Linked DNA regions of Cricetulus griseus. The protein of the gene in region 2 binds, or shares a complex with, the protein of the main gene of each other region. Links are inferred from orthologs where the notes say so. Each region holds a gene or a part of one and is shown on either strand. Other genes may lie near its edges.

Evidence for each region. Proteins that work in one complex are often made in the same cells at the same time.
Region 1: the proteins of Diaph1 (region 2) and Pfn2 are in contact, whole or in part, in a crystal structure (PDB 2V8F), measured with the Mus musculus proteins. The link is inferred for Cricetulus griseus from reciprocal best matches to the Homo sapiens genes DIAPH1 and PFN2. Residues at the interface, in NP_031884.1 of Mus musculus: Ile635, Pro636, Pro637, Pro638, Pro639, Pro640, Leu641; in NP_062283.1 of Mus musculus: Ala2, Gly3, Trp4, Ser6, Tyr7, Asn10, Ala28, Tyr30, Trp32, Arg108, Met131, Tyr134, Leu135, Ser138, Phe140.

The regions. Positions count from the first base shown.
Region 1 is NW_023276806.1:93,602,506-93,606,765, forward strand, and holds the start of Pfn2 (profilin-2), read left to right. Parts: upstream 1-1,394; 5' UTR 1,395-1,472; coding exon 1,473-1,604; intron 1,605-3,555; coding exon 3,556-3,748; intron 3,749-4,260. UniProt on the Homo sapiens protein: Binds to actin and affects the structure of the cytoskeleton. At high concentrations, profilin prevents the polymerization of actin, whereas it enhances it at low concentrations. By binding to PIP2, it inhibits the formation of IP3 and DG.
Region 2 is NC_048595.1:199,753,259-199,756,835, forward strand, and holds part of Diaph1 (protein diaphanous homolog 1), read left to right. Parts: intron 1-1,631; coding exon 1,632-1,811; intron 1,812-2,446; coding exon 2,447-3,097; intron 3,098-3,577. UniProt on the Homo sapiens protein: Actin nucleation and elongation factor required for the assembly of F-actin structures, such as actin cables and stress fibers. Binds to the barbed end of the actin filament and slows down actin polymerization and depolymerization.

The sequences.
Region 1 (4,260 bases), on a different chromosome or scaffold from region 2:
ACAGAATACTAAGACATTACTTTTATCCTTAAAAGTAGGGTGGGGGGGAGATAAAAGTTCAGCAATGTTATTATAAAATTATCAGCGTACTCCACACTTTAAATTGACAATAGTGTGCAAGGTTTGGGGGCTTTCTTTCCCTTAATAGGCAGGTCAGGTTTGTGGTTTAAAGCTGGTCACTCAGGTTTGTTGTTGGAGAACATCTATTCTGGGTTTAGACCCAACGCCTAAAGCTAATAAAGATGTAGGAGGAAGTTCAGAGACTCAACTATCTTCCACCCTGTTAAATACAAGTCTTTCTCAGATTTGGATTCTGAAATGATTTCTCACTGTTAGGACAGTGGTGCTCAACTTATGGGTCATGACCCCTTTGGGGTTGCATAACAGTAGCAAAATCACAGTTCTGAAATAACAAGGAAAACAATTTTATGGTTGGGGTCACCACAACATGAGGAACTGTATTGAAAGGTCACAGCTTCAGGAAGGTTGAGAACCACTGCTCTAGAACCTTCCCTAGCTTGGATACTGTGTATTTTCAGCGACGTATGCAACGCACAGAATCTTTTCCAGTTACCAAGTGCACGCAGGTCTGTTTCATTTAGAATTTCTGGATGATCGAGGCCCTGGCATGATTAGCAACACTGGGTTCAGGGCAAAGGTTCCACAGAACCCCAGACTCCTGGTACCCAAGGAGGCAACAAAGAACACGGAGCGCGCTCCCCTGCCGCGGCTCTGATTTCAGTTGCATGCTGCGGAGCAGCTGGCAGAGATCTTCTCCGAGGTTCCTGCCCAAGCATGGGCAACTCTCACTGGCCGCTCCCACCAACCACAAAGAGTAAACCCCGCCGCATCCGTAACCAGGGCAACCCAGCCACCAGACACCGCGGCTGTCAATACCGCATCCAGAGCCAGCGCTGGAGGAGGGCGCACGGTGGACCCGCGTGCGGAGCTCCAGGGGCACCCCACGGCACCCACTCATGCTGCCTCGCCTGGCCTGAAGCCCCGGAGCCGCGCCCCAGCCAGCGCCAGCGGCTAGTCCGCTCTCCTGTCGCACGTGTCAGCCGTGATTGTCCCCGGCGGTATCCATCCGCGCCCCCGCCTCAGCTCCCCCGCCCTTCCCGAGACCCTCGCCGGCCGGCCGCGCTGCGGAAGGATCGCACGCACGCGCGCTCACGTCCCGCTGGCCCCGGAGAACGGAGGGAGCCGCATTGACAGTCAGCCGTCGCCAGCCCCGCTGCCCGCATCGTTCCGCCGCCGCCGCCGCCGCCGGCTCCTGAGCCTCGCGGCCGCGGCCGCCCGCCGCGTCCCCGCTGCGGGTCCTGTCCCCGCCCGCCGCAGTTCCCGGAGAGGGGCGGTCGGTGCCTGCGCAGAGCCGCCTCCTCCCCGCCCCCGCCCCGCCTCCGCCGCCGCCGCCGCCGCCGCCGCTGCGCCTTTGCTCCTGCCGTCCCCGCTGCAGTGCGAAGGGCTCGAAGATGGCCGGTTGGCAGAGCTACGTGGATAACCTGATGTGCGATGGCTGCTGCCAGGAGGCCGCCATTGTCGGCTACTGCGACGCCAAATACGTCTGGGCAGCCACGGCCGGGGGCGTCTTCCAGAGCATCACGGTGAGGCCCTGGGGCGCCGAGCCTGCAGGTGTGCGGCGGGCCTCCGAGGAGGGGACGCCGCCCGCGAGGAAGGGGACGGATGCGGCCGGGGCTTGAGCAAGGGATGCTGCCGGCTCGGGGAGGGGATGGATGCGGCCGAGTCCCTGGATGTGGGCCGCTGAGACTGGGGATGCTGCCCGAGGCCGCGCGGGGGCGGGGCGGCCGGACTCTTAGCCCCGGCGGCGCCCCGGCTTGCGACTGCCGGGGTGGAGGAGGGGACGTCTCCCCGAGAGGCCCCTCGGCGTTCCGGGAGGCCCGTGGGCTGCAGTGCGGGTCCCCGGGTGTGGGCGGGGGTCCTGGGCGGCCGGCTAGCCCCGACTCGGCGGTGAGCGCGGGCTGTGGGAGGCAGCGGTGGCCAGGTCCCTAGAATTAATAGAGTGACTTTGCGTAGGCTTGCCTGTACCCAGGCCTCCTGGGCTGGCAAGAAGGGTACGCGGACCACGTATGTGGAATCGTGAATCTACTTCATCTGTGGCTCTATAGTTTTTTTTTTTCCTCCAAGATGGCGAACTGCCATTGATTTCTCTTCTCCACCTATAGAGATTCATCGATATACCGTTATCCCCAGTTACGCAACCTAGCCCTAAAAAGAGGATGGTTTTAGGGTGGTTAAAAGAAAAAAAAATTATCTGGAAGTCGCGGGAGGGGTGACACTTCTCCAAGTCACTCCCTCTTTAGTGATGGTAGTAAAAGAACTAATACGGATTTATGCTTCACCTTGCTTCATATTCGGGTGTCTTGATGGCTTTTGACTTGGTTGCCACACATTTGGGAGATATTCGTCAATCAGCCTCCAGTACTGCTTATTGTTATGCCCATTTCTACGTAAGGCTCTTTAAAATGTTGACTCCAGTATCAAGTACAAGACCATTCCCTTAATTTCGTAGCCCCACACTCCCACTCTCTTCCTATCACACAGCAAAATTCATGTTTCATATCACAGGTACTCAGCATTTTACTACTTGACATGGTTTAACATATTAGTGTAGATTCAGCCCTTGATAGGAGTGCCTTAGGATCTTCTGTCCCGGTGTGGGAGACTACAATTCCTATATGGAATTGACATTCGGTGATCAACTTTTTTTTTCCTGCAGTCTTGTCTTTGTGTGTGAGTTCCCGCTGTCTGGCTAAGAAGATTGCGGGAGTGTGCTTGGAAATGGCTGGGGCCTGCTATGACTTTGCAGTTCTGATGGGGGCGACGCCTTCCTTCTTATTCATGGAATGTTAGAATGCACGTTTTCTCTTTTCCGGTTCTGGTGGCTACCTCACTTTCTTTACCAGTGCCCCTCCATTTTCTCTATAATTTTACTATCGCCGACGGTAGTGCTGGAGACAGAAAGAAAGCTGATTACTGAATGAAAGGGCAAGGCAAGTTGGAGAGAAAGGAGTAGTGGCTAGAAAATAGGAGGGAAATACGAATTTGGAAATGTCCGCCAGTCTGGTGATTGAGATTCATGCTACCAAGGATATTTCAAGCTGCTCTAAGGAGAGAAGTGAGCAGGTTTATCTGGGGAGACTTTTGCAACTTTAAATTTGTTGCAACATGACTAATGTGGCTGAATATGATAGGCAAGCTGTTGGAAGAGCTTATAGCTGAATCTTTACAATTACATAAGCACCTTCAGGCACCACCTGACGTGATATAGTTTATAAATAACTCGTTTTCAGTTTGTACCTAGTGTCAACTGCCAACTATTTAGGGAGACTCTTTGTATGGTTGGTATTGCACTAGCTTTTAGTTAGCAGAACTCACTGTTAAAATGCAAAGGCAGACTAATGTGTTAAGCGTGTAATCATGTAGGAATAGGCAATAACAGAAAATGTTATCTTGATTTTACATCAGCACTGTTCCTTGTATCAAACTCTGAAAGGAATTAACTGCAATTTTTTTTTCTTTGTTTTGGGTGGCCAGCCAGTAGAAATAGATATGATTGTAGGAAAAGACCGGGAAGGTTTCTTTACCAACGGTTTGACTCTTGGTGCAAAGAAGTGTTCAGTGATCAGAGATAGTCTATACGTTGATGGTGACTGCACAATGGATATCCGGACAAAGAGTCAAGGTGGGGAGCCAACATACAATGTTGCTGTTGGCAGAGCTGGTAGAGGTAAGTGAGCTCTTTCTTATTTTGTGTGTGTGTGCCTAAAAGTTGCATGCCATATTACACTTGAGTTTCTTTAATGGTCTGAATTAAAAACTAGTTCATAATGTCTATGAAGGTGTTTTTGTGAACTGCTCAGCACTGAAGGGGAGGTACTGCTTTCAGTCTGTCTACTTTACAGTTTTTACACTCGAAGCCTCACCTCTTTCACCCTGACTTACTCTAAATTATTAATGTCAACTCTTCATCTTCAGCTTTAGTAAATGAAAATGAAAAGTTGCCCCTTAAACAACCCAGTGTCATAATACTGTGGTATATATGATGCTAAACTGTTCAAGACACCTCGTTATTTTGTCTCTAATGAGTCTTGTGGATCTTTCAAGTTTGCTTAGATTTGAAATAAATTCACTGCTCATCATTAAAAATCACATTGGTTAGTTCTTCTGCCAGGAACATTTCTGAAGAAGAGAGAAATAGTTAAATGAGGGTTTTGGAGTACATTCTCCATTTACTGAACT
Region 2 (3,577 bases):
CCGAGTATGCTTATATGAAAAACACACACACAAGTAAACTTGGGGTATATATTTTTCTTTGAAGATAATTGTTTTTTGACAGAATTGTGAGACAGAATTGTCTGTGATATTTTGAAAGCATTCAGAATCTAAAGTTCCTGTGAGGAAATCTTGTTAGTGGGAAAGAGGGTGTTGATATGAAATGAGAAACTAGAGGAGATCTTACAACATTCTTGGGCTACCAGGCAAGTCAGCAAAGACAGATGATACTCTGTGTAAGTGTGCATCTTAAGTCTTACTCTAGGAGTGGTAGGAACTGGAATATTTCTCAATTCCTTTCATCTCTGTAGTAATTAAGGATTCCTGCTGTGGCTGGAATTGGGCAAGGCAGCTGTCCTGGTTTGTCTTAGTTAGGGTTACTGTTGCTTTACTGAAACACCATGACCAAAAGCAACTTAGGGAGGAAAGGGTTTGTTTCACTCACGGTTCCATGTAACAGTTCATCATCAAAGGCAGCCAGGACAGGGACTCATGCAGGACAGGAATCTGGAGGCAGGAGCTAATGCAGAGGCCATGAGGCTTGCTACTTACATGGCTTGCTTAGCCTGCATTCTTAAAAGAAGCCAGAAACACCAGCCTACAGAGGTGATCCTGCCTAAAAATGGACTGAGCCTTCCACATCAGTCACTAATTAAGAAAATGTCCCACAGGCTTGACTATAGCCCAATTTTACAGGGGCCCTTTCTTTTTTTCTTTTTTTTTTTTCTTTTTTTTTTTTGGTCTTTTGAGATAGGATTTCTGTCTGTAGCCTTGGCTGTCTTGGAACTCACTCTTTGGACCAGACTGGCCTCGAACTCTGCCTTTCTTTGCCTCCTGAGTGCTGCCCTACCACTGTCTATCTATAGGGACATTTTCTCAATTGAGGCTCCTCCTCTTTGATGACTCTTGCTTGTGTCAAGTTGACATAAAACTAACCAGGACATGGTTAAAGGTCTTTCAGAGATTAGCTGGCTTTGTTGTCTAGCCATAAGACTAGGAAGACTATGAACATGATCTCTTGTCTCCTCCCCCTTTAACTTTGATGTTAAAGTCAAGATCATATTGGTCTCTTCTTTTCCAAGTATTAACTTAGGTGAATCAGTAAGCTGTATAGAGTGGTGTTGAGACACAATAGTAAATTATAGGAACTAGCCCGTATGCTCCTAACTAAGATGAATAGTATCCTAGTTTGCTTTCGCTGTGGTCAACACTGTGACCTAAAGCAACTTGGAGAGGAAAGGGTGTATTTCATCTTCCGATTGATAGTCTGTCATCAAGGGAAGCAAAGACGGGATCTTGAAGTAGACACTAAGGGATGCTGCTTACAGGCCTCTTACCATTGGCTTGATCAGCTAGCTATCTTTGTTACACATCCCAGTTCTACCTGCCTAGGGATGTCACAGCCCACAGTGGACTGAACCCTTCTGCATCAGTTAGCAGTTAGGAAGATGCTAACAGACATGACCGTAGGCCAGTCTGATATGAGCAATTCTTCAGTTGAGGTTTCCTCTTCCCAGTTGACTGTAGGTTTGTGTTGTGTTGACAGCTGAGGTGATGACAGAAAGATCACTGGAAGCCTGATTTTTTTTTTTTATTTTTTTTTCCTTCTTTAGTTGGACTCTGAGTTAACAGCCCGGCATGAGTTACAAGTAGAAATGAAGAAGATGGAAAATGACTTTGAGCAGAAACTTCTGGATCTTCAAGGAGAAAAGGATGCATTGGATTCTGAGAAACAGCAGATTGCTACACAAAAACAAGATCTGGAAGTGGAGGTGTCCAAGCTGACGGGAGAGGTAATGTCTGAGCAGGACAGCGGTGTGCCTGCAGCTGCCCTCCATAGCTCAGCTGTGCTGGTCATAGGTTCCCTATGCTAGGGAAGAGCAGCTGGATCATCAGGTAGATGGTTGAGTGTTGTAACAGTCATTTACTGGTTTTAGTCTTGTTTGGGAGGATAGTATATAAGACAAAACATTTAGAAAACAATAAAGAATGGTAAAAGTTACTTATGGCAGAATCCAGAAATAATGCATTTGGGAGTAAACAGTAAACTATTGGCTTATTTGCCCATCCAACTTAGTTTATGCTTCTATGACACCTTCATTCTCCTTTCTCTGCAGGTACAAATGCTTAGTAATACTGTAATACTGCTAACTTGATCATTTGCACAGCTGTGGGAATACCTGCATAGCACATACTTCAGTTTTATTGTCAAACTCAAAACACACTAAAACCAAGAACACAAAGACTTGAGGTCTAGTTTTACTCTCCTACTAAGTGTCAGTGTGACTTTAAGAAGAATCGTGTGATCAGTCACTCAGTCCATCTATGGTTGAACAGAAATTTGGACTAAGTGGTTTCTTCGGTCCTTTTCAGCTCCAGTAGTCTTTGAAGTGGGGTGAGAAGTGCTTCTTCTGTGTTGCTTCTTTAGGTTGCCAAGCTGTCAAAAGAACTAGAAGATGCCAAGAAGGAAATGGCTTCTCTCTCTGCTGTGGTTGTTTCTAGCAGTGCTGCTGTTCCCCCTGCCCCTCCTCTGCCTGGCGGCCCTGGCACTGTTATTCCACCACCCCCACCCCCACCTCCTCTTCCTGGAGGTACCTTTCCACCTCCTGCCCCTCCTCTGCCTGGGGTCGCTGCCATCTCCCCGCCTCCTCCTGTGCCTGGGGGTGCTTCTGTACCCCCTCCCCCTCCTCTGCCTGGCAGTACTGCTATTCCCCCGCCGCCGCCTCTGCCTGGGGGTTGTGTTATCCCCCCTCCCCCTCCTCTGCCTGGAGGTTGTGTTATCCCCCCTCCTCCTCCCTTGCCTGGCAGTGCTAGTGTACCAGCTCTCCCTCCTTCCGCTGGGATTCCCGGGCCCCCCCCACCTCCTCCCTTGCCAGGAGGACCGGGACTGCCTCCCCCACCTCCCCCTTTGCCTGGAGGCCCTGGCATGCCTCCACCTCCACCTCCACCTGGAATGGGCATGCCTCCACCTCCCCCCTTTGGATTTGGGGTTCCTGCAGTCCCCGTTCTGCCATTTGGATTAACACCTAAAAAAGTTTATAAGCCAGAGGTGCAGCTCCGGAGGCCAAATTGGTCCAAGGTAAGTTTTTCTCCAACATTAGATCTTAAACTACTTTTCTTGACTTATTTTTGTGTGTGCGTAGGCTACCCACTTTAGGGCTTATATCTGTCCTTCAAGTTGTACTTGTGTTTATGTTTATATAACATCTCTATTTCAGTTATTACCACAGAATGATCTGTGGGCCCAATGGGAATATATTTTAATTAAACTTAACCTATCTTAATATATTTGGCCTTTACTCTGATAAAATGAGTACTATGGTAGTTGACAGTTGTCACTTCACTCGGGTGCAAATGACTGAAATTACGCTTGTACAGCCCATGATGCGTGTGTGGCCCCTGTGGTTGGTTGGGTCAATCTTTTGCTTCTAGAAACTAAGTTAAATGTAGCCAGATTGATGGGGAAAACATCAAGCAAGGAACATTGGAAAAAAGGCTTTAATGCTTGTGGAAATAGAAGATTTGGAATTAGGAGGAAGATCAGTGTAACTGATTTTGA